Arabidopsis thaliana: one gene and its partners. The protein of the gene in region 4 interacts with the protein of the main gene of each other region in a pairwise test. Each region holds a gene or a part of one and is shown on either strand. Other genes may lie near its edges.

Region 1 (7,451 bases), 9.3 Mb from region 4:
AATTTAGTTTGTGGTTCAATTTCCTGATCCTCTTGTTATGTCCATGTCTTTGGTTTGTTGATCCTGGCATTTCTAATTTTGATGTATGTGTTATATCATACTCATGAAATGGTTTCGGATGCGCAGCATTGGTACAAAGACGAGAAGTATAGTACTAAAGTGAAGGACGCAGACGGTCATCCTTGTTTTGCTCTTGTAAACAAAGCTACTGGTGAAGCAATGAAGCATTCTGTGGGAGCTACTCATCCCGTAAGCGTTTCTTTCTTAGACGATGTCATTTTTGTCCTGTGACTTTCATTATTTCCAGTGTGACATCTTCTCAACCTTAGCTAAATGTTAGTTTTCATAACCTTGAATGGGACCTGAAAAAAATATTGGTCGTGCATTTTATTCACTTCTTATGAAAATTCCACATCAAAACATTAGTAGGGACTTTAAGTAGGAAGAAAAGAAACAGAGAGGAGCATCAAGAATTTATGAGAATGGTTTTGTAGGCTTGGAAAGTTTAGGGTCTCTAGAAGAAACTCTAACTAAAGTCTGCTAATTTACTTCTGTGATTCTGCATTGTGTTTTTTCGATAGGCTCGATGTGTTTAAGCAATATTTTATTGGGTATTGCAGGTGCATCTGATTCGATATGTGCCTGATAAGCTTGACGAGTCAGTACTATGGACAGAGAGCAAGGATTTTGGCGATGGATATCGCACAATAAGAATGGTAAACAATACGAGGCTAAACGTGGATGCATATCATGGTGACAGCAAATCTGGTGGTGTACGTGATGGCACGACTATCGTCCTCTGGGACTGGAACAAAGGCGACAACCAGCTCTGGAAGATCTTTCCTTTCTGTAAGCTTTTCTTTACCGTTTCTGCTTAGTTTTTAAATTGTTAATCTTGCATCAAACTAGAGACCATGAGATAAACTTTGAAATGGCAATGGTCAAAACCAGAGCTAGAACTCTAATGGGCTAATGTATCGACGACTTTGACGTCGTGGTTCGATTCGATTTAATTTCAAGAGTCTTAAGTTAACTATATGTTGAACCAAATTATTAACCTTTTTTAACTGAATTTTGTCAATGCAGGAAAATTGGCGTCTGGAGTGGTAAAAAGTTCCTTTGTGTGTGCTGTATGAATAAGAAAGAAACAAAACTCAGATTTATTCATTGTTTGTGTCTTGTAAAGACTTGAGTTTGTGCTGTTGGCATCTGTAATCTATCTTACTTGTATTCCAAGTATGTTTTTACAGATACATTACATACACTGTCTATATGTGTATACTTTTTTCCTAATCTATTTTGAGATCTTTCTTTTTCCTTTTGGGAGATATAAACGACAGATTGTTATCGAATTATGTTGATTAGTTTATTTTAGCAGACTTTCGCGCACGTTTATTTGCATTTCTGTGATAGCTGTCTCTGTTTTAAATTGTGAAGGAGTACAGTTTTTGCTTGGACTAAAAGTTTATTTAGGATTTTTACAATATATCTTGAGATTTGATTCTTATAAAATACTACGAATTATCGGAAATCTTCGACGACGTGATTGAATTATGCAGATTATAAATAAATTTAGCGAAGATCATTATAAAAGATAACTATATTATCTGTAAATCTGTCATCATCAGATAACAAAATTTAACGATAAAATAGACAAAAACTTGTTCTTGGCTGGACTGTAGATTACTAAAATTTACGTCAGTTTCTTGGGAAATGGTAAATGAAAAATCTGGCCCTATCACTACCAAGTCTACTCCCATAAAAAAAAACGACACAACCATTAGCTAACGTAGAAATGACATTCAATTTCTTGGGAGCTCAATAATGGAATCATAAAGCAGAACCAATCAGCTTGTTTTTCTGTGGCTGCGGAAAAGCGAGGTCCTTGCTGCATGAGTCAGACTCTCACGGCACAATCATGCAGGATACCAACACGTCTCAACTCTCAACGCAACCATTTATGACACATTCAGTCTTTTTTTTGTGCCGACATCAAAACTTGGTTATGGTAAAGATTTGTTGTTGTTAGAGCCTTAGAGCAAATTAGTGCCGACCAAAATAAAAAGTGGGAGAAATTAGTAAAAAGATGAATAAAATAGATCACATAAATGGGATAGGATTATAGAAGAATAATGTGATTATATCCAACAATGTATTAAAGAAAACTTATAATTCAACTTTTTCAAGCAAAATTAGTTATAATATTTTTTTCCTGTGGTTCCACTATAAATAAATAAATAAATAATGAAAATTCATCTAAATATTTTATTCCATCTGTTGATTGTACAACCATTTGGATTAGATTGATTATTTTTTTCAGTTCCAACTGTTAAAGCATTTTAACTGATAGTTCCATGGAGCTTAGCTTAGGTACGCATCGACATAGACTTAAATACCGTAGACTAGATTATCTTTTATCAAGGGTTGGTGATGATCAAAAGTCAAAACAATATAACATTGGTTTTGGTTAGACCGACTCAAACCGACAAAACATAGAAATTAAAGTTTATTATTCCAACATACGATAACATGTCGTCTCCCATACATCTTCCCCATGCATGTTTGCCCTTCACTTCATTGGCCTCACCGATCCTTCAACATTGTCTGATCCCACATCAGGCAATTCAACGGCCACGATCGGGACTTCGTTAACATCGGTTTTATTTGCTAGTTGGTTCTCTGTTGGCAAATCCGTTTTCGTGGAACCTTGATACATCATGTATAGTATCATCTGAGCTACACCGAATAGAAAACCGAGAATGTTTGGCATCTGAATACAAAGCGACATAGAGAGACTTATTAGTAACCAAAAACTAGTTAGAATATTGAAAGATGAATGTGAAAATGTCAATTAATATTACAGCAATGAACTTGTCTTTGATAAGAAGTCCATAAAAGAACCACATGACGGCGTTAAGAGTGAGAGACAAGGAGAGAAGAAACGGCATGTATTCCACACTCTTTGTCTTTATAACCTTCCTCTGCAACATTACACATTGTATATTAATTTCCAATTCACTACAAAAAACGGCAGATGTTTGAAGAAAAGCTGATAGATGGATCATCACCATGACGCTTAAGGGAGAAGCAAAGACTGCGAGACTGTAGGCAGCACAAACCCATCCAACGGTCGAGACGCGGTGTTGTTTTGGAACCAAAAGATTAACTAGAAGAATTAAGAGACCAAGTCCACCGATGTTGCATATCACTATCAACTTCAACGTGGATATCTGCCAAGTGTACCACCAGATTAATTAGTTGTAGATATAGAGTTTCATCACAATCAAGATTTTTGAAACTAGAGGTGTACATACTAAAAATATCAACCATACTATAAATAGAAATATATAATTATAGGAACCTTGGCCTCTCTTGGTGCATAAAGGATATAGAGAAACAAGTAGGAGATTTCAATGAAACATCCAAAGGTGTTAATACTAATGATCAGATAAGCATGTGTCTTCATGATTCCGTAGTAGAGAAGAAGAGTTGCACTTGCTAGTGCACATATGTACGGTATCGACTGAAACCCTTTTGATGATTTCTTCTTGTATATCCCATAAAACGTTGGCCTAAAATATGTATAATTAATCAAATACTTTATATAAACTATTTTAATATATAGCATTTCGAGTTAGAAACTTACACTGGTGACAAGAACACCCCAAAAGACACAATGTTGCCTGAAAACAAAAGCCAGAATCAATATTAGTGTTATGAACTTCTTTATTTTGGGTATAAATGTTAAGTAATATAAAGAACATGTATTCTGTTGTTCAAAAAATAAAAAATAAAAAATAAAGAACATGTATACTCTGTTGGAAATATATGATACGTCACTTTTATTGTTGATTTTATTTACATATTCTGACCATAACTCAAAAGCATAAAAGAATAAGGGAAATAAATTACCTAAGAGACCAAAGAGAAAAGCAATTTCATGAACCTTGAGGAACATCTTCACTTTTCTCTCTTTCTCTTGCTAGTTGACTGCTTTGAATTATAGTTTCTTCATGCAAACCTCCATTTTATATTGGTCTTGGAGAAAAAGTGAGTCATTCTTATAAACCCTTAAACCAAAAAAAAAGTGAGTCATTCTTGCATTTTCATTTTTGTCCCCTATTTAATTTTCTTTCTTTCTCTTTTTAAACAAAAAAACAAAAGTTTGGTTCAAGTTTTCCTGGATTTTATTTTTTTCTGCACAATATAATGTGATCACTCAGTAGCAAATAGTATAACTTTTGCATAGCTGATTGGCTGTAAATTGCTGGTGACTTCTGACTTCTTAGTTTGCCAACCAGCAAATTCTTTAGTTTCTCGTTTTATTAAACCAATTTTAATGCAAATTTAATACTTGTTCTGATCGAGGAAACCATAACTTCGAATTTCTTTCTTGTTTTTTTTTTTGTTTTTTTTTTTGTCTTAAGCGATGAGTTCCTTTCATTTAAAATCAATATCGATATTAAGAATACGGGATGTATGGTCGGTGGTTAATTTTAGGCCTGAAAATATGGAGCTGTGATTTTTGACAATTTGCGATGGAGTATCTACTGATGTCAATGATGTTAATTTGCAATGTCGTCTCCAAGTTACTCATGATTTTGTAAATATAACATGTGGAGACATTTTGTTGCATAATGTGAGATATTTTTAGGATGAGATCAATTGTCTCAAGCTTTGGTGATTTTCTTAGACATATACATATCATTTTCATTTCTTCACAAGTTTTATCGGAAAACAAAGCTAATTAGTAATTACTCCTCATCTCTCTATGAAGGCCCAAAATGCAATGCAAAAAGTGTCAACTCTGTGTGAACCCTAAAACTTGCGGAGCAGTTTAGAAATTTAGTGACATTTAACTTAAATAAATAATCAGGTGGTTGGAACGTCTTGCATTAGGTGTTGTTCCTAATTGTTAGGCCTTCTAAATCCGACAAAGTATTTTTGCATTAGGCTACAAATTTCTTAAAGTCGAATTAATCACTTCAGACATATCATACGCCTAGCAACCCTCTGAATCTGGTTCAATGTTTGTATATAGCCAAATTAATATAAGATTTTTTTATATATAGATAAAACATCACCCATCAGTGATGGGCCATCACCCTAATTATAAGACATTGTGTAACTTATAACAACCTTCCATAACTGGTGTTAAGAAACCAAATGTGATAACTGATAAGATTATTTGCTTGCACATATCACCAATGAGATGATTTGTGAACATGTTAATGAATTAAGTATTTTTATTAATAAAGGTATAATGAAACCTTCATATCAAATTATGTGGGTGAGATGGAGGCATGGATGTGTTTGTTAGGCTCATACCTGAGGCCTCGTATGTTTGGCCTATTTCTTTGTTAGAATCTTAATTTGGTAATGAACAAGACACAAGCTTTTACATCTTGACAGAAACCTTTAAAATCCATCTAATTAGATGATTTATAAGATGCTTTATTATTATGATCTAACCACGTTTATATATTTTATTCAAACTGATTAAGTTTGCGTTGATTATTTACTTCTCAACCCATTTGCTAACTGTATTAAGTAAATTAACAAAATATGATTTATATATATGAACCATGGAGCTTTATGAAGAATTCTGAAAATTTCAGCTGTTTGATCACTCAAGAGGATACATGAGTTTGTTTGTACCAAACATAAATAATGCTTCACATTATTGGATTCTTCAGCGCTAGAGACATTCTTAATCAATCCAAGTAAAAATATTATGTCGATACTCCAAAAAATTGGGCAAAGCTTGGATACTTCGGCTCCCATCCTATCTCCGCTCGTGTCTTAGAGTTGTTCAGCTTCTTCCCTAAAGGACCACTGGTGCCTACAAAAGCCAAAGTTGTCAGACTCCATGAAGCTTAAGGTTTTTCAAGACAACTACATGTCAATGTCTGAAGAAACTCACTTGTAAAACCTTTGAACTTCTTATCAAATTTTCCGCTTTGAGCCATCAGGTCCATCACCTCTTGCCTGAGAAGAGTGAGGGGTCAAACATTTGATGTCTCATCAAAAGTTAGAAAGTAATCTCAAAGTTAGAACGAAAGCAGCATTACCTTGACAAAGGATGGTTGTCACAACCCAAGAAAATCCGAGCACCGGCTTTCTTCTTCATGATTGCAACTGCCAGCGATGCTGCATCCTGTTCAAAAACACATTAGAGAACCTGATAAGAGACTAATGTATAGTACACTGCCATTCTAGAAAATGAGTTCAATCTGCAGATCAACTAATTAGTTATGAGAGTGAACAAAATCACAAATATACCTCATAGTGTATGAGATTTAGAATATGATCAGGACGAGCATCAATTGTCTCCTTACTCAACCAGTAAGTATGTGCACCTCTAGTTTCTGTGTATAAAAAGTTCAGGAGAAACATAATGCTCAAATCTTCTACAGACCAAGAAAAAAGTCTTTCAATACTTGCTCATTCAGTTTCAGTATCGAAATCCAAAAGGATATGTAAAGCCCTGCTAGTCTAAGGACAGTCCCTCCACATTCCAACACTACTTTTTCAGCTTTCAAAAGCACATCAGTTCTTGGACTCTTTCCCAGTGGCACTACTGGAGAATCCTGCAGTGAAGGGTAACGAACTTAGAAATTCTTATTGAATAGCACATATATATATTCACAATGAACAAGAATTTGCATTGTGGTCTCAAATATCAAATTTTTTTATTGATTGTATACTTGATTTTCATAGATTTTAAATGTGAGAGACTCTTTTCCCCAAATTACCTCAACAAGTAATTGTGTTAAACAACTTTGATATAGAATAATACTAAATGTGGTGTTAAAGTCTAAAACTAGGAATTTTAGGATGGAGAAAACTGAAAGAAAATAGGTATTCAGGTGCTGAGACAAACCTCGTTGCATTCTCCGTTATCAAAGCAATCATAAGGTGCAGAACTAGATGTGAATAAGAATGATCCTTCGCCATTCCAGTTTGATGCTGCATTCCTGATCCGATTGTAAACACAAGCATACACACATATTAGACAGTTGAATGAAGGCAAATGTTTTTACTGTTGTCACATAGGATGAACTAAAAAGCACAAATTGACGTTTAGCTTCATTTTTCTTCTCCAGCTAATAAAGTCAAGCGCACAATAGTCGACATTTCTGGCATTCACTAACAGATCATAATGCATAAATTGACTTTCTAGTTATTAAAACATAAGATTTTTTGTAATTAATCACCTGACTTCACCAGCATAATCAGCGCTTTGTGATGGTGGAGCACAAAAGATCACATAGGAGAACTTTCCCCCATATTCGGTTCCTTTAAGAGATGGTTTGATACCCAAATTCTCCAACTCACCATGATGATTTGTTGTTACTGTCTGCCCAAAGATTTGAGACTCTGGATGTTCCTGCTCCACATATAAAGCTCTAACTCTAACTTCCATATTGTGAAAAACATGACTCTTACTA
Region 2 (8,136 bases), on a different chromosome or scaffold from region 4:
CCTATTTTTATGGTAGTTCTTTCAGGAGTTTGTAAATTTTGTGTCGATAACAAAAAAAAAAAAAAAAATCAACTCTGCACTCTATAGGGGTTTTGGTTGAGTTTCTTTCTCTTAGTTTATGGCTGAGTTTCTATTTATGCACAAATGATAGTTTTCTTCATTTAGTATTGTTGGTTCTCTATAGAATTAACGTTATATACGGTTTATGTTCTAATCAATCGCTGAGTGGGTTTCCACGTATTTATTTTGTTCATCAATATATAAAAACAACATGTACCAAGAATATAATACATATACACATACGTATATGGCCCATGTTATATGGGAAATTGATAATGTGCAAAAATGTCATCGTTCATACAACGACCGTTGCTCCTAAAAGTACGATATCAACCATGTGTGCACCTAATGATTGGAAATGTAAACTCTTTTATCAATCATAAAATATTCACAACCTCTTATCATATAGATATCACATGTACTTAATTGTACCATAGACTCCAATAACGAACCAAAATAATTATGCTCTCTCTCCCTATATATACCCATGCATCAAATCAAATCAATTCAAACACAAACACAAACACAAACACAAACATAAACTCAAACTCACATATAAAAAATGACAAAATCAGCTATAACATTTCCACTTATCTTCACACTTCTCACCTTCATCGATGTCTCGAGCAGCGCCTCCATTGTTTTCAACGTCGTGAGCTTCGGGGCCAAACCAGACGGAGTCACCGATTCCACAGCAGCATTCCTAAAGGCATGGCAAGGGGCTTGTGGCTCGGCAGCATCAGCCACGGTGGTGGTCCCCACGGGGACATTTTTGTTGAAGGTAATAACGTTTGGAGGGCCATGCAAGAGCAAAATCACATTTCAAGTGACCGGAACCGTCGTTGCTCCGGAAGATTATAGGACCTTTGGCAATTCCGGTTCCTGGATTCTCTTCAACAAGGTTAACAGATTCTCACTGGTCGGTGGGACTTTTGACGCTCGAGGTAGTGGGTTCTGGTCTTGCCGGAAATCTGGCCAGAATTGTCCTCCCGGTGTTAGGGTACATATGCTTCTCCTCTATCTATAGTTATTGTAAATAAAAACAACAATCTGACATTCATACATAAGCGCCACCAGAATGCAAAAGAGCAACAAATAGCTTTAATCATTATTGATTAGTAATAACTAAATAAGTCAATATATTTTTTTTAATAGTCAAATAACATATCTTTATTCCAATCATTTACTTACGATTAAAAAAAAAAAGGAATTAGTTGATAGTTTTCAACTATATTAATTCAGGCACATTTAATTTTCAATATGATCTATCCATGCCATTTTTAGGAATTTATTTTATAAGCATATAATAACTATTATGATAATGATTTTTGGACAAGGAAATGGATTCTTTGGTCAAAATAAAATGAAATATTTATAATCTTATTATTAATCTATGGCGTTTATATATTAATTACTGTAGTCAATATCGTTCAACTCCGCAAAAGACGTGATCATAAGTGGAGTGAAATCGATGAACAGCCAGGTTAGCCATATGACCCTCAACGGTTGCACCAATGTGGCCGTCCGTAACATTAGGCTGGTGGCTCCCGGAGACAGCCCAAACACTGACGGCTTCACCGTTCAGTTCTCCACTGGAGTCACATTAACCGGAAGCACCGTTCAGACCGGAGACGATTGTGTTGCTATCGGTCAGGGGACCCGCAACTTCCTAATTTCCAAGCTTGCTTGTGGCCCAGGTCACGGGGTTAGGTATACACCACCGTCTAATTCCTTAGAGTAAATTATGTAAATATATCATTAATTGTTAGGAATCATGAATTTCCAACAAAAAAAAAACTAGCAATATTGCCTTCACTCACTCTGGTCACAACTCATATGATGATGTGATGACTGGCAGCATCGGGAGTTTGGCAAAGCAGTTAAACGAAGACGGAGTAGAGAACGTGACAGTATCGAGTTCGGTATTCACCGGATCACAAAACGGCGTGAGGATAAAGTCATGGGCGAGGCCGAGTACCGGATTCGTTAGAAACGTCTTCTTTCAAAATCTAATCATGAGGAACGTCCAAAACCCTATCATAATCGACCAAAACTATTGTCCGTCCAACCAAGGTTGCCCTACTGAGGTATATCCATATCATATTTTTGATCAATTTCAGACTAATCAAATATGCTATATCAAATTATCAACTTAGTCAAATAACTAAAGATTTATTATGTTTATGGTATGTATTAGCATTCGGGGGTGAAGATAACCCAAGTGACGTACAAGAACATACAAGGAACTTCGGCGACGCAGGAAGCAATGAAGCTGGTGTGTAGCAAGAGCAATCCATGCACGGGAATCACATTACAAGACATAAAGCTTACTTACAACAAAGGAACTCCTGCTACTTCCTTGTGCTTCAATGCTGTTGGGAAAAATCTTGGTGTTATTCAACCTACTAGTTGTCTAAATCGATGAATTTATTTGGGGTTAAGATGATATCACTGTGAAATGTTATTAGGAAACTGATTTTTCAAATAGTTTTCTGTAACAAGGTATATGATCACCAATTTCTGTAACATACAATTTTTTTTTTTTTATTAATAAAATATTATTTTCAGTAACCAACAAAGTGGAAGACTTTGACTTGTTGTCACCATCACATTGTGCTTTTGCTTTTTGGTCTTTGATTTGGACAACAAAAATATAAAGAAATTAGAGAAAAGAAGCTTTAACTGGATATAAAGTTTTAAACTGGAGATAATTGACATAGTAATTAAGAATTTGTTGCTTCAAAACTCAAAAGAAAAAGTAATCACTAATATTACTAAAGATTTTGGAAGTTTAGCGAAATTAATAAAGAAAACAGCTGAAGATGCAGTCACTCATCACAGTCTCTCTCTCTATCTCTATATCCTGAGAATCTTACATGATTTGCCCACAAAAAGCATTGAGATTTACAAATCAATCTATTGGGTTTCAGCTACACTCTACTGAAATCAGCTGCAACCTTTTTTTTTTTTCTCTCTCTTCTTTCATCACATCGGTTTGAATCTTTACAAGAAATCTGGAAATCACAGGGAAGTCAGGGTTTTCCATTTTCAAGCTGGTTCTGTTATTACGAAACACGGGTTGCTGGAAAAGAGCTCACGGATTCTTCAAACAAAGTTGGCATCTTTCAGATTTGGGAGAAAAAGTTGTTATTCAAGATCTTTGTGTAATCTAAGGGAGAAGCATACCATGAGTTCTCTGGTTCCTGTTATGGAGAAGCAAGAGAGCGTTCGAGGTAACTCTGTGGAGGAACAGCAGAGTCTCAGATGCGTTGGTGCAGAGAATCAGGTGAGAAAGGGAAGAGCTTTGGACAAGCAAGTTAGTTTCCTAGCTGTGAATGTTGTTGAGAAACATGGAATCAAAGGAAGAGCAATGGAGAAACAGGAGAGGGCAATGGAGAGGCAGAGAAGCTTTCGTGGGTTTGTTGAGAAGCAGAAAAGCTTTAGGGTAGTAATGGAGAGACAGTTAAGTTTCATGAATGTTGGTGGTGAGAGGAAGAAGAAGACTGACTCACCTGGTAAAAGAGGAGATTCTCCTCTTCATCTCGCAGCTCGAACGGGGAATTTGGGAAAGGTTATGGAATTGATTCGAGCTTGTAACGGCATTGAAGAGTTGAAGGAGTTGTCATCAAAGCAGAATCTAGAAGGAGAGACCCCTCTTTATAGTGCAGCAGAAAATGGGCATTCATTAGTTGTTGAAGAGATGTTGAAACATATGGATCTTGATACTGCATCAGTTAAAGCTCGCAACGGTTTTGATCCTTTCCATGTCGCTGCAAAACAAGGCCATATTGGTAAATGAAACTTTAGAGAATCTGATAATAACTTGAAGACCTTGTTATTGTTGTACACCTTCTTGACATATATCTTTGAATGTGTGCTGTCTTTTGCAGAGGCATTGAAGAAATTGTTGGAGACATTTCCGAATCTGGCTATGACGGTGGATCTATCGTGTACAACTGCATTGCACACGGCTGCTTCACAAGGACACACTGATGTGGTGAATCTTCTTTTAAAGACGGATTCTCATTTAGCTAAGATAGCTAAGAACAATGGTAAAACCGCACTTCATTCTGCAGCGCGAATGGGGCACAGAGAAGTGGTTAAGTCTTTGATAGGTAATGATGCAAGCATCGGGTTTAGAACTGATAAGAAGGGACAAACAGCGCTTCACATGGCTGTCAAAGGTCAGAACGAAGGGATTGTTCTTGAGTTGGTGAAACCTGATCCTGCGATTTTGAGTGTTGAGGATAGTAAAGGGAATACGCCGTTGCACACTGCCACAAACAAAGGCCGTATTAAGGTATCATCATCGCTAATTCCCCCTCCCCTCAGTTTCTCAATCTACAAGAATTCTGATGAACTGCATTTTGCCTTTGCTTGCAGATAGTGAGATGTTTGGTATCATTTGATGGAATTAACCTTAATGCTATGAATAAGGCTGGAGATACTGCACTTGATATAGCCGAAAAGATTGGAAATCCAGAGCTTGTGTCGGTTCTGAAGGAAGCAGGAGCTGCAACAGCTAAAGATCTTGGGAAGCCTCGAAACCCGGCTAAGCAACTTAACCAAACGGTCAGTGACATTAAACACGAGGTACAGTCTCAGCTCCAACAGTCTCGCCAAACGGGTGTTAGGGTGCGGAGAATCGCAAAGAGACTGAAGAAGCTTCACATCAATGGTTTAAACAACGCTATAAACTCTGCAACCGTTGTGGCTGTCCTAATTGCAACAGTTGCATTTGCAGCAATCTTCACCATTCCTGGGCAATATGAAGAAGACAGAACAAAGGGACTGTTGTTATTAGGAGAAGCCCGCATAGCCGGCAAAGCCCCGTTTTTAGTCTTCTTCATATTTGACAGCTTGGCGCTGTTCATATCTTTGGCTGTTGTTGTGGTGCAGACTTCAGTTGTGGTGATTGAGCAGAAGGCAAAGAAGAATCTTGTGTTTGTGATCAACAAGCTCATGTGGTTGGCTTGTTTGTTCATATCCGTAGCCTTTGTTTCTCTTTCGTTTATCGTTGTGGGTAAGGAGGACATTTGGCTGGCGATTTGTGCAACGATTATTGGCGGGACGATTATGCTAACCACGATAGGTGCAATGTGTTACTGTGTGGTCATGCATAGGATCGAGGAATCTAAACTGAAAAGCTTAAGGAAAGAGAGAAGCAAATCGAAATCTTTCTCACTATCTCATATGCCTTCAGAGTCAGAGATTCTCAACGGCGAATTCAACAAGAGAATGTATGCACTCTGAGACTAAAATCTCCAGAACAGGCAATTTAGTGTAAGAGTAACAAATGTATACATGGGTCACGTACCTGTAGTTTAGATTCAAGTGAGGAGATACAAAAGTTGAATACATGCTACCTGAGGAACAGTCTCAAAGCAAATCTACAATTTCTGACACAAAATGAATTTTCTAAAGAATCAACGAATGAATAAAAGCGATTCTTCACCTGATGCATTTGTCTTGTGATGACTTTGTTGTTCTTCTGCTCTAAGATCTAGTTAAAACTGTCAAAGTCACAAGAGCTCATCACCGGCTTTTACCTCGTCTAACCGAGTCTTCAGTTCTTGGTCTAGTGCTTCCATTACGGGTAATATCTGTTGGGTAACGACGTGAACCACCTAAGTTCTTTGTTAGGTTCGTGGGTCTGTTCTCAAGGAGACATACTCTGGCTGAGAAGCAGTGACGGACTTTGACAGAGTGGCTTCTCAATGTTGTTGAGCAGCTTCCTCGAATGTTCACCATCAGGATTGCTTCTTTATCTCGAGTGTCTTCGCACCACCAATTCTGTGGGATGCCATCAACATATTCCTCCATTGAGTAAAAATCTTCGTGATGAACTTTAACGTCTACGGATCCTTCTGGATTTATTATCCCTGCTGCGGGAGAAACCTAAAAGAAAAAAATTCTTGTATATCACTAAATCTTGAATACTACAAGAATCTTCATTTGGCGTCAAAAGAGAATTTAATACCTCGAGCCAGCGTGGTAGACCAAAGGAGCCTCGTGGATTGTAGTCAGCATCTTCTCCGTCATCCTTAACTACAGCCTGGCCACCGCACAGAATGTTAAATATGGCTTGGCTCGTGGGTGAATTGTTTGTGATTGTTAGGATGACTGTGTCCTGACTCTGAAGAACAATGTTGTTGGTGCTCACAGAAGTTTCTGGAACAAATCTTAAATCTTCGAATATGGATAAAATCTTCTCATTAGACCTTATTATTTTCCCCAGTTCCTGTCTCCGCACAGATTTATCAACATGAGCTATTGTCGCATGAAATTTGCAGCGCACGGGTTTGTGATCGCTCTCAGTAACATCCATGCAAGCTTCATACCTGTTGAAACACGCAGGTGGGAAGTTAGAATGGAGAAAACACATTGAAGAGACCGGAAAAAGCGAGAAACATCAGAAAGGTCGTCATGAAACCATACATTATGACTGATGAAACTACAGGGCATTGCAAATTGCTCTCAGAGAATGGGCTAGATTGAGTGTCTCTATATATAACTCGGTCACACCACGCAGGAATTCGCTTTTTCTCCCCTGAATCATATCCTGGAGAGTACACAGCACAGAAAGATTCAGTTTTTTTGGAGCCACCATCTCTTACAAAACAGAGGAAAAAATGCAGAGAACAGAGCAGAGCAAAACTGCTTCAATTTTTTCAAATTCATATCTTATGTATCAAATCCACTTTTACCTCCAAGGCCTGAGCGATTCCTTTCAAATTTGTAAGTGGGAGGGAAAGTGATTAATGCCTCGCGCATTCCTTGGAAGACTTTTCCAACCTTCATCTCTGCTCTAAGTTGGTCTCTTTCTCTGAGCCAATCGAAGGATCGCTGTGAAATGAAGTCCCTTGCTTCATCATAGGTTATACCAAACAGTCTATAGTTGAAATCGCCAAAAAATGCGACCATGTCTGCTGCTGCAAGATCAGACTTGATTTCTTCAGCGCCGGTGCTTGGAATCTGGAAAACAGAGAAACATGTTAAATACAAATTTAAGGAGCAAACAACATAAACTCAGGAGTAAAGGTGATATGATAAGAACATACAGTGTTACTCTTTGTTGTATAAGCTGAAGTTGAGACACCAGCTGCAAGAGAGAGGGCCCATGGCAAACCAGAAGAATAAAGCAGCCAAAATAAATATGTGGAAAAGCCAAGTGAGCAAGACAAAAACAGGTACGGCACCATACCAGCTGCAGCGTTACTTAGATTTTGTCCTCGGGAAAAGACCATCAATCGAAAAATGTGATTGAAATCTGCGTTTCTGCGATTAACCGCCTCCAAGTGTGCAGCCAAGTGGCAATTCACAAAGCACATTATTCGGTCATAAACTCTGATTCTCAGACCTACACCTCCCTATTTGACAAGTAGGACATTAATGCGTGTAAACGGAACAAGTACCTCATAGAGAACTAAATTTGAATTAACATCTATATCGCATTGTCATCTACATCTTAGCCAGATAGAAGAGATTACACATTGTGGCAAAAGGCTAAGTTTTTTCCTGTAATTGTGTTATCATTCAGTGGGTCATAAACATTGTAAGTAAGCAACACATTTCATATATAACTTTCTCATTTGCAACTTCACAAGAACAAATAAAAACTGAAGTACTGAATCCTAAAGGCCTGAATGTATGTAGTATCATAATCAGATTTGAAGAAGTGGGAATTGAAGTAAGACATACCTTGTTGCCAATGGCACGGCCAAAACCACATGGAACTGCTGCAACATCAAGATCTCCAACATGAGTTCTAATATCCTTCCTCGCCCTAAAGCAGAAAATTACAGCACACAATAGGTTGGTTAATCATAGATGATACACAACTGCTGATTGGAAACCTTGCAAAAGTGTTGAATGACAAGCACGAGAATGCAACATGTCATGACAGAACATTCACTTACCAAAGAGATATCAGAAGTCCTGCCAACTGCCTTGAACCCATACGCTCGAAAGTGTTTTTCTCATCAAGGGCTTTTCCAATTGCATCAATCCACCATTGCCCCACGGCACTTCCTTCAAGTCCAACCTACACGCGTCCCAAATATGAGGTGATACTTT
Region 3 (9,489 bases), on a different chromosome or scaffold from region 4:
AAAGGTGTAACCCCATGGTGGCGTATGGGGTCATGGACCGGGCATAGGTGGAGCGGGGTGCCTGAAATGCCAATAGGGTACATCTTCAATAACTCATTTGTGAATAATGAGGACGAAGTATCCTTCACTTACGGTGTGACAGATGCTTCGGTCATAACAAGAACCATGGTGAACGAGACTGGAACCATGCACCGGTTTACATGGATTGCGAGGGACAAGAGATGGAATGATTTCTGGTCAGTTCCTAAAGAGCAGTGCGATAACTACGCTCATTGTGGCCCTAACGGTTACTGTGATTCCCCTAGCTCAAAAACGTTTGAGTGCACATGCCTACCTGGTTTTGAGCCCAAGTTTCCCCGGCATTGGTTCTTGAGGGACTCTTCTGGCGGGTGTACAAAGAAAAAGAGAGCTTCAATATGCAGTGAGAAAGACGGGTTTGTGAAGTTAAAGCGCATGAAGATTCCCGACACATCAGATGCAAGTGTGGATATGAACATAACATTGAAGGAGTGCAAACAGAGGTGCTTGAAGAACTGCTCTTGTGTCGCTTACGCAAGTGCTTACCACGAGAGTAAAAGAGGAGCAATAGGATGCTTGAAATGGCATGGTGGTATGTTGGATGCAAGGACATACTTGAACTCGGGACAAGATTTCTACATACGTGTAGACAAGGAAGAGTTAGGTACACATCTATAAATGAGAATCCCTATTTTCTACGTTCTTGCTCTTCATAAAACAACCACTCTGTTTCATTAAAACAAAGAGAATAAAGAAACATGTCAATGTTTAGTATCGAAGTACTTCAAATACTGAGTTTCTTGCTTGTTTCAGCGCGGTGGAACAGAAATGGCTTATCAGGGAAGAGGAGAGTCCTTCTGATTCTTATCAGTTTGATTGCAGCCGTAATGTTACTAACTGTCATTTTGTTCTGTGTTGTAAGGGAGCGACGAAGTAAGTGAATATCTGATGATGAATCTCTTAAGATGATATGCTGCTATCTTAGCTCACAACTAACTACTTGAAACATGTTCAAGTGCAGAGTCAAACAGGCATAGAAGCTCTTCGGCAAACTTCGCCCCGGTCCCTTTTGATTTTGACGAATCATTTAGATTTGAACAAGACAAGGCGAGAAACCGGGAGTTACCTTTATTTGATCTTAACACGATCGTTGCAGCAACAAATAACTTCTCTTCCCAAAACAAGCTTGGAGCAGGTGGTTTCGGACCTGTTTATAAGGTAATGAAGAGGCAATATCCATTTTTCATCAATACTCCTCCAAGAGAGAACACTATTAAGTTCAATAAGTAGTAAGGAATATTGTTTCCTTTGTTTCTACTTAGGGCGTGTTACAAAACCGTATGGAGATAGCGGTGAAGAGGTTGTCGAGAAACTCGGGACAAGGAATGGAAGAGTTCAAGAACGAGGTCAAGCTGATATCAAAGTTGCAGCATCGAAATCTCGTGAGGATCTTAGGATGTTGCGTTGAATTGGAAGAGAAGATGTTGGTATACGAGTATTTACCAAACAAGAGCCTAGACTATTTCATATTCCGTACGTTCAACATTTTTAACTCAGGTTCAAATTCTCCCTTTCAGGAAGATCAATGACTCTGAATTTTCTTGTTTCTTTCTTCTTATCATCATGCTAGATGAAGAGCAGAGAGCAGAGTTGGATTGGCCAAAAAGAATGGAGATAGTCCGAGGGATTGCTCGTGGAATCTTATATCTTCATCAAGATTCAAGACTGAGAATCATCCACAGAGATCTCAAGGCCAGCAATATACTTCTTGACAGTGAAATGATCCCAAAGATTTCAGATTTCGGCATGGCTAGAATCTTTGGGGGCAACCAAATGGAAGGATGCACAAGTAGGGTCGTCGGAACATTGTGAGTTACTCTTTTCTGAAACACCACAAAACTGTCCAAAATCTTACAACCTTAAACTGTTTCAATCTTGTTGCACAGCGGATATATGGCACCGGAGTATGCAATGGAGGGACAGTTCTCCATTAAATCCGACGTCTATAGCTTTGGAGTATTGATGTTAGAGATCATAACCGGAAAGAAAAACAGTGCTTTCCACGAGGAATCATCTAACTTAGTCGGACATGTAAGTACATAACTGAAAATTTTACACAAAAACAGAGGAAAAAAAACAGAACATAAGTAAATGTATGTTTCTCCGTCTTGTAGATTTGGGATCTATGGGAAAACGGTGAAGCAACAGAGATCATAGACAATTTAATGGACCAAGAGACTTATGATGAGAGAGAAGTGATGAAGTGCATACAAATTGGGTTGCTCTGTGTGCAAGAAAACGCTTCGGACAGAGTAGACATGTCCTCTGTTGTCATCATGTTGGGTCATAACGCCACTAATCTTCCGAATCCAAAGCATCCTGCGTTTACTTCCGCGAGAAGGAGAGGCGGTGAAAATGGTGCTTGTCTTAAGGGACAAACCGGTATTTCTGTTAATGACGTTACCTTCAGCGACATTCAAGGTCGTTAAAACAACTTCCAAATGTTTTACTTTTTTTCGTATAAGAAGAGAAGAAGACTAGAGGATCAGTTACAGGAATCAGGAATCTTATTAACTCTGTAAGTTTGTGTAATGAGACTGGTTTTTTGACAAAACTTATTTATTGAAGTACTGATAACAAAAGAAAGAAAATGACTAATAATAAAACCATTGCTAAAAACAAAACACAAAAAGGAAATTTCTTCGCTGCTATAAAATAATTTTGTGCAGAAAATTCAAGGTTGTTATGTAGTTAATGTATCTTCGAAAAAGTCAAAACTGATGTTATTTTCTTATCCCCTATCCAAGTTTGTTCCAATATACATATACTTATAGCAAAGCAACCAATACACAAAACCAATAATTGTGTTTTAATTCTTTCTTCTCAAGACAAAACCTATGTGCTGTGGCTTTTTCTCAAGAACAACGGATTTTTGTTCTTGTCCTGTTTTCTTCAGGTTCAGTTTCTTCATCCAGGTTAGTTAATTCCAAAAATCTGATTATATGTAAGAATAGGTCAAGTTTCAACAAAGTTCATAAACCTGAAAATAACTTCTCTGTTCTTATTTCAGTAATCTAACCATTGCACAGACGCAGATAACAAAATTTGTAAACATAGGAGTTTCTCAAAACGTGTATATTACATACTATTATGTATATAAACAGACTGAGATTGGCGTGGTGGTGAGGTTAACGTCCTGTTACAGCTGTGAGGCTCACATCATTGATAGATACCTTTTGACTACTCTGGTCAGAAGATTCAGCCTCAGAAGCTCCTCTTCTTACTATAAACGCTGGCTGCTTCGGATCGGCGAGGCTCATGTTCTCGGTAGTTAGCATCCATATCACGTTTGAAACATTTGGTCTATCGTTTGCAACTTCTTGCACACATAACAGTCCAATATGAACACATTTCTCTATCTCTTTCTCGAAACACTTATCAAAGACGGCTGGATCTGCTAGAGAAGCAGCCTCACCGTCGTTCCACAGCTTCCAAGCCTGTAAAAACCAAGTCTTTAAGGTAAGTTTCGAATCTTGATTAACCATAAGTTACTAAAAACACTGCTTTGTAACACTTACATAAGCCAAAAGGTTGAGATTATTCTCTTCCTTGTGAGAACTAGAGTTTCTTCTCCCACTTATGATCTCGAGAAATATAACCCCCAAGCTGAAAACATCTGATTTTTCTGAAAAGAAACCTTCCATTGCATACTCCGGTGACATATAGCCGCTGCAATAACAATATTTGAATAAAACCGAATTTCGTAATGTTTGTTGTGTATTTTGGAATGGATACTTACTATGTTCCAACAACCCTTCTTGTGTTAGCTTCATCTTCATTCGCTCGGAAAATTCTTGCAAGTCCAAAATCAGATATCTTGGGGTTTAGATTCTCATCTAACAAAATGTTGCTGGCTTTTAAATCTCTGTGTATGATCTTTAGTCTTGAATCTCTGTGAAGGTACAAAAGACCTCTGCAAATTCCTTCCATTATGTTGAACCGAGTCTTCCAATCAAGAATCTTTTGCTTCATTGGGTCTGAGAAAAGTTAGCAAAAACATTAGCCTTCTCAATAATCATCCCGAGCCAAACGGTATAAACAGAGTTAAAAAGAGAGTTAGAGGTGATAAGTTTACCAAAAAGATATGCATCCAAGCTTTTCTTTGGCATATATTCATATACTAACATTCTTTCTTCACCTTCAATACAACATCCAAGTAACTTCACTAGATTCCGATGTTGCAACTTAGATATCACAACCACTTCGTTCATAAGTTCCTCTAGTCCTTGACCTGATTTCCGTGAGAGCCTCTTCACTGCAATTTCTTGTCCTTCAGGTAATTTTCCCTAAAAAAAAAGATTACCAATCACTTAGTCTGAGATAATTTGTACACATATCTCCCTCCAGAAAACTTCTTTTGTTATGATTTTACCTTGTAAACAGGACCAAACCCGCCTTGCCCGAGCTTGTTTCTTAGAGAGAAGCTATCAGTTGATGTAGCTAACACTTGAAACTCAAAGAGTGGAAGCTCCTTGAGCTTGATTTGGTTAGAAGCAGACTCATTATCACTTGTAAGTGCTTCCATTCTCTTAAACATTAGCTCTGCACTTCTATCTTTCGCTGGAGCTGCTAAGGTAATGATCAATGAAGCAAAACAATTATGATAAAAGAAACAATCAGAATCTAACATTCATGAATAAACAAAACTCTAACCTGGACGCTTTTTGTATTTCCGGCATGCTAAAAGAACGCAGACCGCAGCAATTAACATAACGCCTATCACAGGTGCTGCGATCATAACTGCTAGATTGCTATGTGTTTCTACAAAAAGTTGGTAAGTAAAAACTTAAGTCAGTGAAGAAAACAAAAATGGAGAAGGAAACAAAGTGAGAACTACTAGATATATTTCACTCACTGAGTTCTGAATGAGCAACACGAATAAAAAGATCAATGCCACTTCCCAAAAATGATTGCATATCAACTAAATCACCACTCCAAAGCATGCATCCAATTCCTCTATCATATGCATAAGCTGTGCAAGAACAGTTATCTAAGCATACTTTAGGACAAACTTGTTCACTAGCTTCAGACCGTTCCGCAGAGATTGGTACTTTCATCTTCTGCAGTTTCAAAAAACCATCTGCTTTTCCTCCACCACCACCATTACTTACATTTCTCTGTCTTTCACACTGCAATGGAGCTTTTCTCATACATCCATTACTCCAATTACCACCATTCCACTCTGTGTTATTCTTTGGAACAAACCCTTTAACACATTTACAAGGCGGGTTTTCCCCGGCATGGCAGCTCCCGAATCGACCACATCTACCGTATGCATCACAGTCTGTGTATGGAAACTTTACACCTATCCTCCAAGTTCTCATAGAAGTACTCCAATCTTTCTGATAAATAATTCCTTCAGGATCCAAGTTAAAGTGATACATGAACGAATCATTAGCATAAGACATTGAGATCGTTCCTTGATTATCACTGTTAAGATTAAACCCATCAAGAAACAGAAGTGAATCCATATTCGGTAAACCGATGAAAACCTGACCGTTCCACGGTCCGCTACGCCACGTTGGGACATTGTTCTTCCAGATAAGAAGCTCAGGAAACGTGAAAGGAGCAATACCAGCTGTGTAGTTTCCTGTTGAAGGATCATCGTGGCTTGTCCAAGAAGTAAGCTTTAGGTTACCTCCAGTTCTACCGTCGGTGCCAAGAGTCATTCTTGGCATGAAAGAATCATAAGGATGCTTGAAACTCTCCCAAAGAATCTCACCATTGTTTCTGTTGTCTTGTAACATAAGATTCCCAGAATCCATAAGCTGAACCCAAGTAGCATTTGGAGCTACTGGTACTGAGACATTCGTCGACCATACAAGGCGATTTCGACCATCGGTAACCGCGAGATTTCCATCTTGATAGATCGAGATAACACCGGAAGTGTCGTTGATGGGAGAGTCTTTGTTAGCAACCCAAACCACAGTTTGGATTGGAATCTTTTCGTACCAAATCCCAACATAACGTAACCGAGTAGTGGAATTAACAGGAGTGAAGAAACCAAACCTGAAAATACCACTTTTGCATAGAAGGGTCTCTGACTCTGAGTCTTTGATAGGACTTGAGAAAGTGATTCTGTCCTCACCAAAACAGAGTCTCCGAGACAACAAACAAGTGCATGCAAGTAGAAGAAGAACAAAACGACGACGTATGGTCACTGAAACCACCATAACTCTTTGAAACAGAGAATGACTCCAGTTTTGCTTTGTTTTCCTACACGAGAGGTAAATTAGTAGTCTTTTTCTGTCTCTATGAGAAGACTTGACTTAGAAAATGATGTAAAAGTTTTATGTTTCAACGAAGATTTGTTTTTGGTGTGAGTAATAATGTTATTAGGTGGATTCATTGAATAGCCCACCAATTAGCAGTGAGAGTGGAATAAACCACCAATCTTGACTTTTCTTTAAATGCAGAGGAAACGATTGAAAGCGAGAGGACTACTTGCCTTAGTGCGATTTCAATGGGGTCATTGTTTATACATTTCGAGTACACTTGTTTTATTTGCAGATTATAGCATTTGAAAACAAATATTACTTTTTTCTGTTCTCATTCTTGGTGATACAAACGAACGCGTGTTTCACAGCCCACTTGGTGTTTTGCCGTCGTTAAAGTTTGAGGAATTTGAGTTGAATTTGTTTATGTCATGCCGTTCTAGATTGGATTAGGTCGCAAATCTTTTTGTGGGTAGCTAATTTGGAATTTGTTGAGGCAAGCACACAATGTATCACATGAAATGCCTAAACGAAGTGTACAAAAGATTCGATTTCTGTTCAGTTGAAACGGAATAGAAAGTTTTTTTTTAAACTATGAGAAAGGTTTTTACCAAACAAATTTATCTTGTATTAAAAAAGGATGTGGTCTCTATCGAACAACACATACTTTTGACTTTGCATGCAAATACGAGACAATGTGCCACGAGGCCAAAATTTGCAATTTTTAAAGAATTATTAGATGGTGACAAAAAATTGAATAGAGAAATTAGGTGGGGATATTGCCCTTGATACAATTGTTATGTGAAGCCTAATTTGTTTTATATTGGTAACATGTTATTTTTTTGTATGGACGTTCTAAGTTTTTTACTTACCAATGAAAGCCACACAATTCACAAATCACAATGATGACTGATGAGTAATGACATCTAAAACGACAGAAGCCGAAACTAGTATTATTAGAAAGTCTAATTGACTCAAAACGCCAAATCTTTGAGCAAAAATAAAAGGGAAATGGAGAACAAAATTACCTCTCTTTTTTTTTTTTTCATATTGCCATTGCGTTCTGCATAGGACTTTGTTGTATCAAATGAGACCTGAGAAAAAGGTCATTGACTTCGACAGATGAAAAGTCTAGAGAATTTGTATGTTCATGAGACAGAGGGTCACAACGTAGCTCTCAACATGACAACATCAATCAAACTGTTGTACAGTCACATCTTGTTTAAGAAGAATTCTTTCAAATAATCTTTAAAATGCCACAACCTATGTTACGTTGCAATCAAGACATACTAATCATAGATCAATCTTCAGTTATTCTACTTCTCCCTAAGCATAAATAAGCATTACGACATTTGTTACCATTACAATAAAAAAAAAAGCAAATTAGTGTACTATTCCAACACAGATGGAAACAATTACTAACAAGACAACAAAGATTTTTCTAAGCGATGATAGACAATAAACTTTTATCTTCAAGGCACAAAAATGGCAGCTACATTAAATATTTTCAGACAAATAAATTGCATTAGACACAAAAATCTCAAAACTGCAGTCAGTGGTAATTCGAACCATCAATGTACAAGTAATGAGTAAACTTGAGATCACAGCGACCAGTGAGACTTTAGCATAAGACCTATGGTTCTTCCGTCACTGTTTGTGTGATAAACAAGACATGGACTTAATCTAAACCTATCGCCTATGTTGAATTTCAGATATGATTCCACCTGAAACTGATCATGATTTCTTGAACCATCAACAACTCCCCCAACGCTCATGCCCCAGCCCACTTCATCCTCTGGGTTGTCTGTAATAGACACTGACCATTTCACTTGCTTTTCTCTTGAGTTCTGAATTTCAATCCATCCCCCAAGTTTTGTAGACTCGTCCATTAGAGAGTCTAACTTCAAAGCAATGGAACTGGACGACACATGATTCATGTTTCTACTCATCTCCAGAGGCGGTGCTGATGGTTCAGGCTCCGTAGCAGTATGGCGCCTTAGGAAACTTACTGGAACTGTAATGGCTCCAACAGAATGGAGATTGCTAGATGATGTTAAAACTTGGTGACAGCCCAATAGAGATAGCTTTAAACTTCTGAGAATGTGGCAGGTTACTTGCCCAAATGTTCTGAAACAACGATTCGGTGCAGTCAAACCCTGTTCAACTTCAACGTTTGACATAGACTGAGCCAGTGAAGCTGTGATATTTGACTTTCTGAATGTTAACCCTATGGCGCTCCCATTATGTTGGCTTAAAAGAGGTGGTCCAAGTTCAGAAACTTCTGTGAGACTCATTCCCTGCAAGACGAAGGTAGTTGTATTTGTAGTTTTATCAATAACGATTATTTATGAGAAACACAACAAATATAGAAACAGAAATCTGCAACGATTGGTGGATACCTGGTAAGAAGACACAGTAGAAGCCTCAATGTCTCTGAAATGCGCGCCAACAGGAATAGCAATAGCAGAGAACCAATCATTAATATCTGCCTTGTAGAAGACTTTGGCTAAAGACAACTCTCCTCCTAAAAAATCCCTGTGACTTCCTGCCCCATTGTATCCAGCAACAAGCTCAGCCACAAGCCTATCTGTCTCCCTAAGACTCGTTTCAAACACAAACCTTGAAAGCAATCCCGGTCTCACTCCTTCTTTGTTGAGTCCATTGAAACTTTCCTCGTCAGTGTTTCCCATCAGCAATATAGCTCCAAGCACATCAACTTCACCTCTCACATGAGTGCTAGTCTCTTGAAAGGGACCTCCTTTCGATAATTTCTGCGAGGAAATGATCCGCTCTACTTTCTCTTGTCTTTCTCTAAGTTTCATCAAATCCGAGAATGTTTCTCTTTGTAATCGCTTCAAGATATCAATCTGCAACATAATTCCCAAAACCAACAATGCAGAAACTCAAATTCAACATCACATTTCAAACAAAAAGTTGATTTTAAGAACAAAATGAGTAAAGGGGATGGATAACGATACCGGATTCAGGCGAGAAGGATTCTCATGGAAGCCGAAATGGCGGGAGACTAAATCCTGGCTCGATTTCGTAAAGCTCTTCACTTTCTCCAACACCGAAGCAATTGGGTCCATCTTTTAATCAGAAACTGGTAAGGAAAGCTTGAAGATTCTAGAAAATTTCGAACCCAGTGATGATCATTTCTATCGATGATAAGAGGATTTGAATAGAGAAGATGCGA
Region 4 (6,963 bases):
CGATCGGTCGGTTAGACAATCACCCGGAGAGACGCTCTTACTGATAACCTGTTATAAAATATTTAAAGAAGAATGAAAACTAAAAAGAGTAAAGACCGAAACGAGAGTTTTCTTATTGCTTACTCATTCTCTTCTCTTCTCTGTACTTCTTACAATAAAGTAATAGACTTAACGAAAAAGTAATAGACTTACTAAGAAGTAATAGACTTAACAAAGAAGTAATAGACTTAGCGAGGAAATAATAGACTTAGGGAGAAAATAATGGATAGAGATACGCATTATCCATATCTTATGGATATAGATGAGTGATGGATAATTACATCCATACTTATCCAGATTTTTTGGTAGGATCCATACTTATCCAGATTATAACAAAATAACATGTTTTTAAGAAAGAAAGGGGTTTGATTGGGTAGCTAATTAAATCATATTTAGATTGGTTCGTATAACAATAATAGAAACAATGATCTTACATATAAGTGTCGTTTAAAAATACCAAGTGAACCAGTAGAAAAAGTCGATATTGTGATGTTGTAATTGACTATTTCGATAATTTAACCGAATCGAAACTGGTTCGATCTGGTTTAAATGAAGGGAAAAAAAAAGAGAGAAAAAGATGTAGATGTAAAAGGTCAAACCAGGCGCTAGTAGGCGCGTAGGGTAAAAGAGAGAGACTTAGACCACTGGGCCAAGTCGAGATTGTTTGTATAAAGAGTTATTTAATCATAGTTATACGGGTGAATCTAAAAAAAATCTATAAAATGCAGCGTGCAGCGGAAAGAATAGGACATTGTTTCCATTGGAAAATTTTCAAAGGAAATTAAATCATGGGAAAGCAGAAGAAAAGATGGAAGAAGAAGCAGAATGGTAACCCTAGATTTAGTGCCGGTCCGAGGATATTTGATGCTTAAAGCAAATTCAAAATTGATGCCCAAATATATTTTTTTCGCAAAATAAAATAATATGAAATTTATTTTGTTTAAGAAAATTGAACATAAAAATTGTTAACAAGAAAAAAAATAAATAGAAATCTCAGTTTTCTTCCTGGCGAAACATAATCCTCCTAGCTTTCGCTCCTGCAAATTCATTCATCAATTTTTGGTAATCGAGCTTCTCAACCAGTTCTTGTTATACAGATATCAGCGCCAAACCATTCAATCGCTCTTGAGACATAGTCGAACGTAGATATTTTTTTATGAGCTTTAATTTTGAAAAAGTTCTCTCCGCCAAAGCAACTGAAACCGGAATGGTGAGTAGTATACGATAAGCGATCCATGTGTTTGGATAACAGCTATCCATTATTTTCAAAAATTTCAACACTTCGACCGGCTTTGTAATCTCTTTTGGCAACACATCTTTTAAAAGTTTCAGCTCCATAAACAGATCTTCTCCATCAACATCTGAATGCACATCATGCTTCAAAGAAGCTTCAAGCTTCATACACGATGTCCTTAACTCATCATCTTCTGCTACCTTCAATCTCTTTACACCAAACAAAAATCCAAATATTTGTTCATATACTTGGAATTGCTCGAATCTTATCTCAATACACATTATAGCTTGATCCATTATATTGATGAAGTAATCAATTCTAAAACTCTCCTCTGCAATCTTACTTTCATCAATCTTCTCAACATCCTCAACAAATTGCTTTTTTTTTTTCACCGACTTTTTTGGAAATACCGGCGCAATCTTCATCTCAATGGCAATTTGTGTAGATTCAACTTTGGCTTTCTCGAAACCTGTTTCTTTGTAGTTTTTCAAATAAGTAACAAGCCCTCCTAACTGAGAAATAGCAACCTCAAGATCCATATCCTCAAACTGTAAGGATTTGCTTACTATATTCACAGCAGCTAGCAAATCGTACCAAATTATCATTCCAAATAAAAATTCAAACCCTCCAATTCCATGTGTTTCACTCTCTGTAAGAGACTCAACATCACTCCGGTGTCCTGGATTATCAGTGTATTCTGCCAAATAAAAAAGTGCATCTTGTATCTGTATCTTTGAAGCTTAATATCTTATTGGTTTAAGACTATCAATGCGGCTTTCCCAACGCGTTTGAGACAACGGTTTAAGTGTAATACCATTCACTGTTTCTCTAAACACTTCCCAATTGTTGGTTGAAGCTTCAAACAGACAATGTATTCGCTGAACAATTCCAAAAAAAGAAACAGCTTTCTTGGATGATGAAGCCATATCACAAAGTGCAAGGTTAAGACCATGGCATCCACATGGAGTGTAAAATGCTCTTGGATTTATATCAAGCAACCTTTTCTGAACTCCTTTATGTTTTCTCTTCATATTTTGTCAGTTGTCGTATGCTTGTCATCTTACATCATCAATATTCAACTTAAGATCAATCAATGCATCTTGAAGAGTCTTAAAAAGCCCCTCACCCCTCTTATCTTTGATGTGTAGAAACGTCAAGAAGAACTCCTCAATCTTAGGTGAACACGTTGAAACATCCACACATCGAATTAAGAAGGTCATTTGTTCTTTACGACTAACATCCGGAATGGAATCAAGAATGACTGAAAAATACTTCGCATCTTTAATCTTCTTTAAGATCATCATCTTGGTATCATTAGCAAGTAATTCTGTCAATTCATTCTGACTCTTATGACTGGGAAAATGGCAATGAATTTCACCTTTATTAGCCCGCCGAATGTGTTCCTTCATATCCGAATTAAAACCTCCAATCATTCTAATAAATGCCAAAATATTTCCACTATTTGGATCATCAACATTCTCTTTAGTTCCACAAAATGCTAAATTTTGTTTAGCTAGAGTCTTTACCACTGCAATTATTCTCACCAATACATCTCTCCAATGTTTTTTCTCCTTCTTAATTGCCTATTCCATATGGTTATCAATTGTTTTACTCTTTTGTAATCTCACTTCTAGCTCCATCCAATGAGTCATGGAAATAATATGACGATGAGTTGTTTCATGTCTTTTCAGCCTTTGCGCAGCATTTTTCCAGTCATTATACCCACTACTTGCTAACAATGTAGGATTTGTTTCTTGATCGAATAATTAGAGAGAAATTCGATCCGCTGATTTTTGAGGAATATTTGAATTTTGATTCTAAAAATAAGTGAATTCGAGTTTTGGTGACAAAGCAGCGCATTTGTTAGCTGATTGTATTTTGATTATTGATGCTATATAGACATAGATTTGTGCGAAAATTGAGGAACAAGAGAGAAATTTGATCCGCTAATTTTTGAGGAAGATTTGAATTTCGATTCTAAAAATAGATGGATTAGATCTGCAGCGTTTGTTAGTTGAATGTGTTTCGATTATTGATGCTAAATATACATAGATTTGTGCCAAAATGAGGAATTAGAGAGAAATTCGATCCGCTAATTTTTGAGGAATATTTGAATTTTGTTTTTAAAAATAGATGGATTCGAGTTTTGGTAACAATCGGCGGTGTTTGTTAGTTGATTGTGTTTTAATTATTGATGCTAAATAGACATAGATTTGTGTAAAAATTGAGGAACTGAGAGAAATTTGATTTGCTAATTTTTGAGGAATATTTGAATTTTAATTCCAAAAATAGATGGATTCGAGTTTTGATAACAATTCGCAGCGTTTGTTAGTTGACCATGTTTCGATTAATTATACTAAATCGACATAGATTTGTGGAAAATTGAGGAAATAGAGAGAAATTCGATCCGCTAATCTTATATGAATATTTGAATTTCGTTCCAAAAATAGATTATTTAGAGTTTTGGTAACAATCAACGGCGTTTGTTAGGTGATTGTGTTTTTATTATTGATGTTATATAAACATAGATATTTTGATCGGAGTTTTGATCGGCGACGATGGAGAGAAACGTCGAGAAGATGCTGAAGAGAGTATCAATAGTGTTCTTAAGCATCGGAACAGTATTAATGGTAATTATGATTCTCCAGACACCAAAAACTTGTATTTCTCCAGAAGCTCCATCGAAACCTCATACGCATTTCCCGAGATCTACATGCGATTCATCGCCTCGTCAGCATCTTCCTCTCCCAAAGAAGAACGCTCGAATCTGGTCCTCTGGAGCTTGGAAATCTCGTCTATACTCCTTCTCTACCTACTTCCTCCGATTTCGCGATCTCGGATTCATTCAAAATCACACCAAAGCTCTCTGTCTCTCCGCCGGAGCAGGCCATGCTCTGATGGCTCTTTCTCAGATCGGATTATCTGATGTTACCGCAGTTGAATTGGTTGATTCGATTCCTCTTGTGAAAAGAGCTGATCCTCATAACCTTCCGTTTTTCGACGGTGTCTTTGATTTTGCCTTCACTGCACATCTAGCTGAAGCTCTGTTTCCGTGGCAGTTTGTGGAGGAGATGGAGAGGACGGTGAGACGTGGCGGATTTTGTGTGGTTTCGGTTGATGAATGTGGTGGAGATGATGTAAGAGACATTGCTAGGCTTTTTCATAACTCCAAGGTCGTTGATGTTGCTAATGTAACCTTAGAAGGATCCAAAAAGACTAGTATACTATTCAAAGTTCAAGACTCTCCTACCTGAGGTGTTTTATTTCTCTTTTGATTTATAGGCCCTTTCCGGATTCTCAGAAAACTGCTTCAATATTCATAGAGTGGAGCTAGATTTGTTTCTGTTGAAATTCACTTACATGTTTGAAAAGCAGGAGATTTAACAGATTATGTGGTAACATTGTTCAAAGACCATGACCATATTTGTTCTGGATCCTAAAGCAATGTTTTGTTGAGGGAAGCTGCGATGTTTGTTGCGAGTTCAAGATCCAGAACAAAAGCTTTCTACAGGTTAATATCTTTTTTTTTGGAAGTTGGTCTCTGAGCTAAACAATTCTTAGGAACCTTGGTCGCTTTTGAAACAAGTAAAGAACTTTCAACAGCTTTTGAAGACTTTAGTGTGTGATGAAAGAAAGTACTTTCTTTCCAGGTGAGGTTCACGTTTCAATCTGTTAGAGCTCTCCTGTGTACTATTTGTGAGTTAAGTAAAATACTCTTTAGTCATTTTGTATACTTAGAAAGAACAAAATTCTTATTGGTGAATAAAAGGCTCTTACTAAAAAAAAAAAAAAAAAAAAAAAAAAATTTTCTCTCAAGCAAGATAACCAAGGTAGCCGCAAGCCTTGTTCGTGATTAGTTCTCTTCACCGGCGTTGCTCCTCTGACTGCCTGCGTTCCTGATTGTAGCTACTACTAAAGTGAGATCTCTCCAATGAATCTACTTTTCCGGTGGCGTAATTGTTTTCCGGCGAGTCTTTCACTTGAAATGACTTTCCTTTTTCTCTCGAATGCGAGCCACTCTCGTCGCTTACCGTCGTCTTCGGTCGCCTTCCTCCTTCTGAGGCCACCTTGTGCACCACCACCAGAGCCTCCATCTCCGCCGACTCCACCGGAACCACCGGATCCACCAGATTCTCAGATCTGCTTCACTTTTGCTGATTCTTATGCTCAGTCGTTGAGCTCCTCTTCCCTCCCAGATTTGGTCTCGCTCATTCTCCATATCTCCTCCGCCATATCTGAATCTCCGTCACCGACCTCTTCGATCACTGATTTTTTCATTGATGTTTTCCTTCTCGCCGACGACACCACTTTTCTTCCTCAGTATTTCCCTCAGGTTTGCTCTTACTCTTCGCCGTATGTTTCTTCTAAGATTGGAAGGGTTTGGTTGTTGATAGAGTTTGTGGCTCTGGTTTTGTGGAATTTGGGTTTGTGTAATTCATATGTAGCTTATCTAGTTTCGATTGGCTTGGATACTTTTGTGCTCTCTTGTAGCACCTCTATCGCTTTGATGCGATCACTTACCACAATATGTGGATGTCTTAATTCGCCTTTGTTAAAAGTTGTCTCATCGCAGCTTAGACAGAATGTTTTGGATACTTTTGTGCTCTCTTGTAATACCTCTATCGCTTTAATGCGATCTTTTACTGCAGTATGCGGATTCTATCTCGATTTGTTTTTGTTAAAAGTTGTCTCTTCGCAGCTTAGACGGAGGGCTTTGATTTCAGACAACCTACCAGTTTTTCTGGTTCATTGGGGATTTCATAGCCCTCATCTCTCCTTTATGGAGCTTTTTATCCTCTCAAATACTTCACTTGTGTTTAGTGATAAAGTTACAGGGAGCATTGTGTGCAATACTGATCTGCTTGAAGTAGAAGCGAGGATTGTTGTTCAAGACTGTTCTCATTCAGCCTTTGCCGATTGTTTGACGTTAGTGTCATTGGAGGCTTTGTTTCCTCCTTATTGTGGTTTCGACAAGGTCTTCCAAGCTAAAGGTGTTTGCTTTTTTGGATGCTCTTGGTTAGTTGCTGCTTTGCTAGAACCTTTGGGTTCACCCTTGTCCCCAAGTCTCTTTTTGAGCATTGTTGTTGCTAGCTTTCGCTTATGTTTGATCTCTATGTTTGTCGATGCTTTAGCTTTTCCGACTTGTTGTTGCTATGTTGTATCCTCTGTTGGTAGAGGTTAAAACTCTTTCTCTTTTATGATAAGATAAGTTTGCCCAAAAAAAAAAAGACATAGATTTGTGCGAAAATTGAGAAAGTAGAGAGAATTTCGATCCGCTAATTTTTGAGGAATATTTGAATTTTGATTTCAATATAGATGAATTAAAGTTTTAGTAATAATCAGCGGCGTTTGTTGGTTGATTGTGTTTTTCTTATTGATGCTAAATAGACATATATTTGTACGAAAATTGAGGAACGAGAGAGAAATTCGATTCGCTGATTTTTGAGTAATATTTGAATTTTGATTCTAAAAATAGATGGATTCAAATTTTGGTAACAATCTGCGGCGTTTGTTAGTTGATTTTGTTACGATTATTGATGCTAAATAGACATAGATTTGTGCAAAAATTGAGGAAATAGAGAGAAATTCGATTTGCTGATTTTTGAGGAATATTTGAATTTTGATTCCAAAAATAGATGGATTCGATTTTTGCTAACAATCTGTGGCGTTTGTTAGTTGATTATGTTTCG

What was found.
Region 1: the proteins of AT2G16030 (region 4) and SWEET9 interact in a protein complementation assay, tested with the Arabidopsis thaliana proteins (one large-scale study listed by BioGRID).
Region 2: the proteins of AT2G16030 (region 4) and AT1G05640 interact in a protein complementation assay, tested with the Arabidopsis thaliana proteins (one large-scale study listed by BioGRID).
Region 3: the proteins of AT2G16030 (region 4) and AT1G11330 interact in a protein complementation assay, tested with the Arabidopsis thaliana proteins (one large-scale study listed by BioGRID).

The regions. Positions count from the first base shown.
Region 1 is NC_003071.7:16,304,249-16,311,699, forward strand, and holds SWEET9 (Nodulin MtN3 family protein), read right to left. Parts: upstream 4,115-7,451; 5' UTR 3,959-4,114; coding exon 3,913-3,958; intron 3,684-3,912; coding exon 3,647-3,683; intron 3,573-3,646; coding exon 3,362-3,572; intron 3,231-3,361; coding exon 3,069-3,230; intron 2,982-3,068; coding exon 2,862-2,981; intron 2,771-2,861; coding exon 2,570-2,770; 3' UTR 2,243-2,569; downstream 1-2,242. Other genes in the region: EULS3 (hydroxyproline-rich glycoprotein family protein), read left to right, coding at 127-249, 621-849, 1,087-1,088; EMB2799 (NAD(P)-binding Rossmann-fold superfamily protein), read right to left, coding at 5,733-5,842, 5,924-5,988, 6,072-6,157, 6,283-6,372, 6,480-6,590, 6,884-6,977, 7,218-7,390. UniProt on the Arabidopsis thaliana protein: Mediates both low-affinity uptake and efflux of sugar across the plasma membrane. Nectary-specific sugar transporter required for nectar production by mediating the secretion of sucrose from the nectary parenchyma to the extracellular space.
Region 2 is NC_003070.9:1,684,613-1,692,748, reverse strand, and holds AT1G05640 (Ankyrin repeat family protein), read left to right. Parts: upstream 1-2,793; 5' UTR 2,794-3,247; coding exon 3,248-3,851; intron 3,852-3,950; coding exon 3,951-4,360; intron 4,361-4,443; coding exon 4,444-5,313; downstream 5,314-8,136. Other genes in the region: AT1G05650 (Pectin lyase-like superfamily protein), read left to right, coding at 623-1,060, 1,481-1,770, 1,919-2,147, 2,258-2,485; 5PTASE13 (Endonuclease/exonuclease/phosphatase family protein), read right to left, coding at 5,596-5,958, 6,041-6,401, 6,499-6,622, 6,768-7,035, 7,122-7,430, 7,762-7,846, 7,980-8,104.
Region 3 is NC_003070.9:3,807,134-3,816,622, reverse strand, and holds AT1G11330 (S-locus lectin protein kinase family protein), read right to left. Parts: upstream 6,829-9,489; 5' UTR 6,252-6,828; coding exon 4,934-6,251; intron 4,840-4,933; coding exon 4,732-4,839; intron 4,645-4,731; coding exon 4,451-4,644; intron 4,365-4,450; coding exon 4,154-4,364; intron 4,056-4,153; coding exon 3,818-4,055; intron 3,748-3,817; coding exon 3,597-3,747; coding exon of another isoform or gene 3,570-3,596; exon of another isoform or gene 3,516-3,569; coding exon 3,207-3,515; 3' UTR 2,814-3,206; downstream 1-2,813. Other genes in the region: AT1G11340 (G-type lectin S-receptor-like Serine/Threonine-kinase), read left to right, coding at 1-682, 832-951, 1,040-1,236, 1,341-1,551, 1,649-1,886, 1,965-2,109, 2,193-2,507; AT1G11320 (GDSL esterase/lipase), read right to left, coding at 7,895-8,590, 8,693-9,160, 9,272-9,382.
Region 4 is NC_003071.7:6,971,760-6,978,722, reverse strand, and holds AT2G16030 (S-adenosyl-L-methionine-dependent methyltransferases superfamily protein), read left to right. Parts: upstream 1-3,715; 5' UTR 3,716-3,831; coding exon 3,832-4,527; 3' UTR 4,528-5,050; downstream 5,051-6,963. Other genes in the region: AT2G16040 (hAT dimerization domain-containing protein / transposase-like protein), read right to left, coding at 1,129-1,970, 2,400-2,706; AT2G16020 (uncharacterized protein), read right to left, coding at 5,137-5,367; AT2G16019 (uncharacterized protein), read right to left, coding at 5,441-5,551; AT2G16018 (uncharacterized protein), read left to right, coding at 5,205-5,606, 6,103-6,144.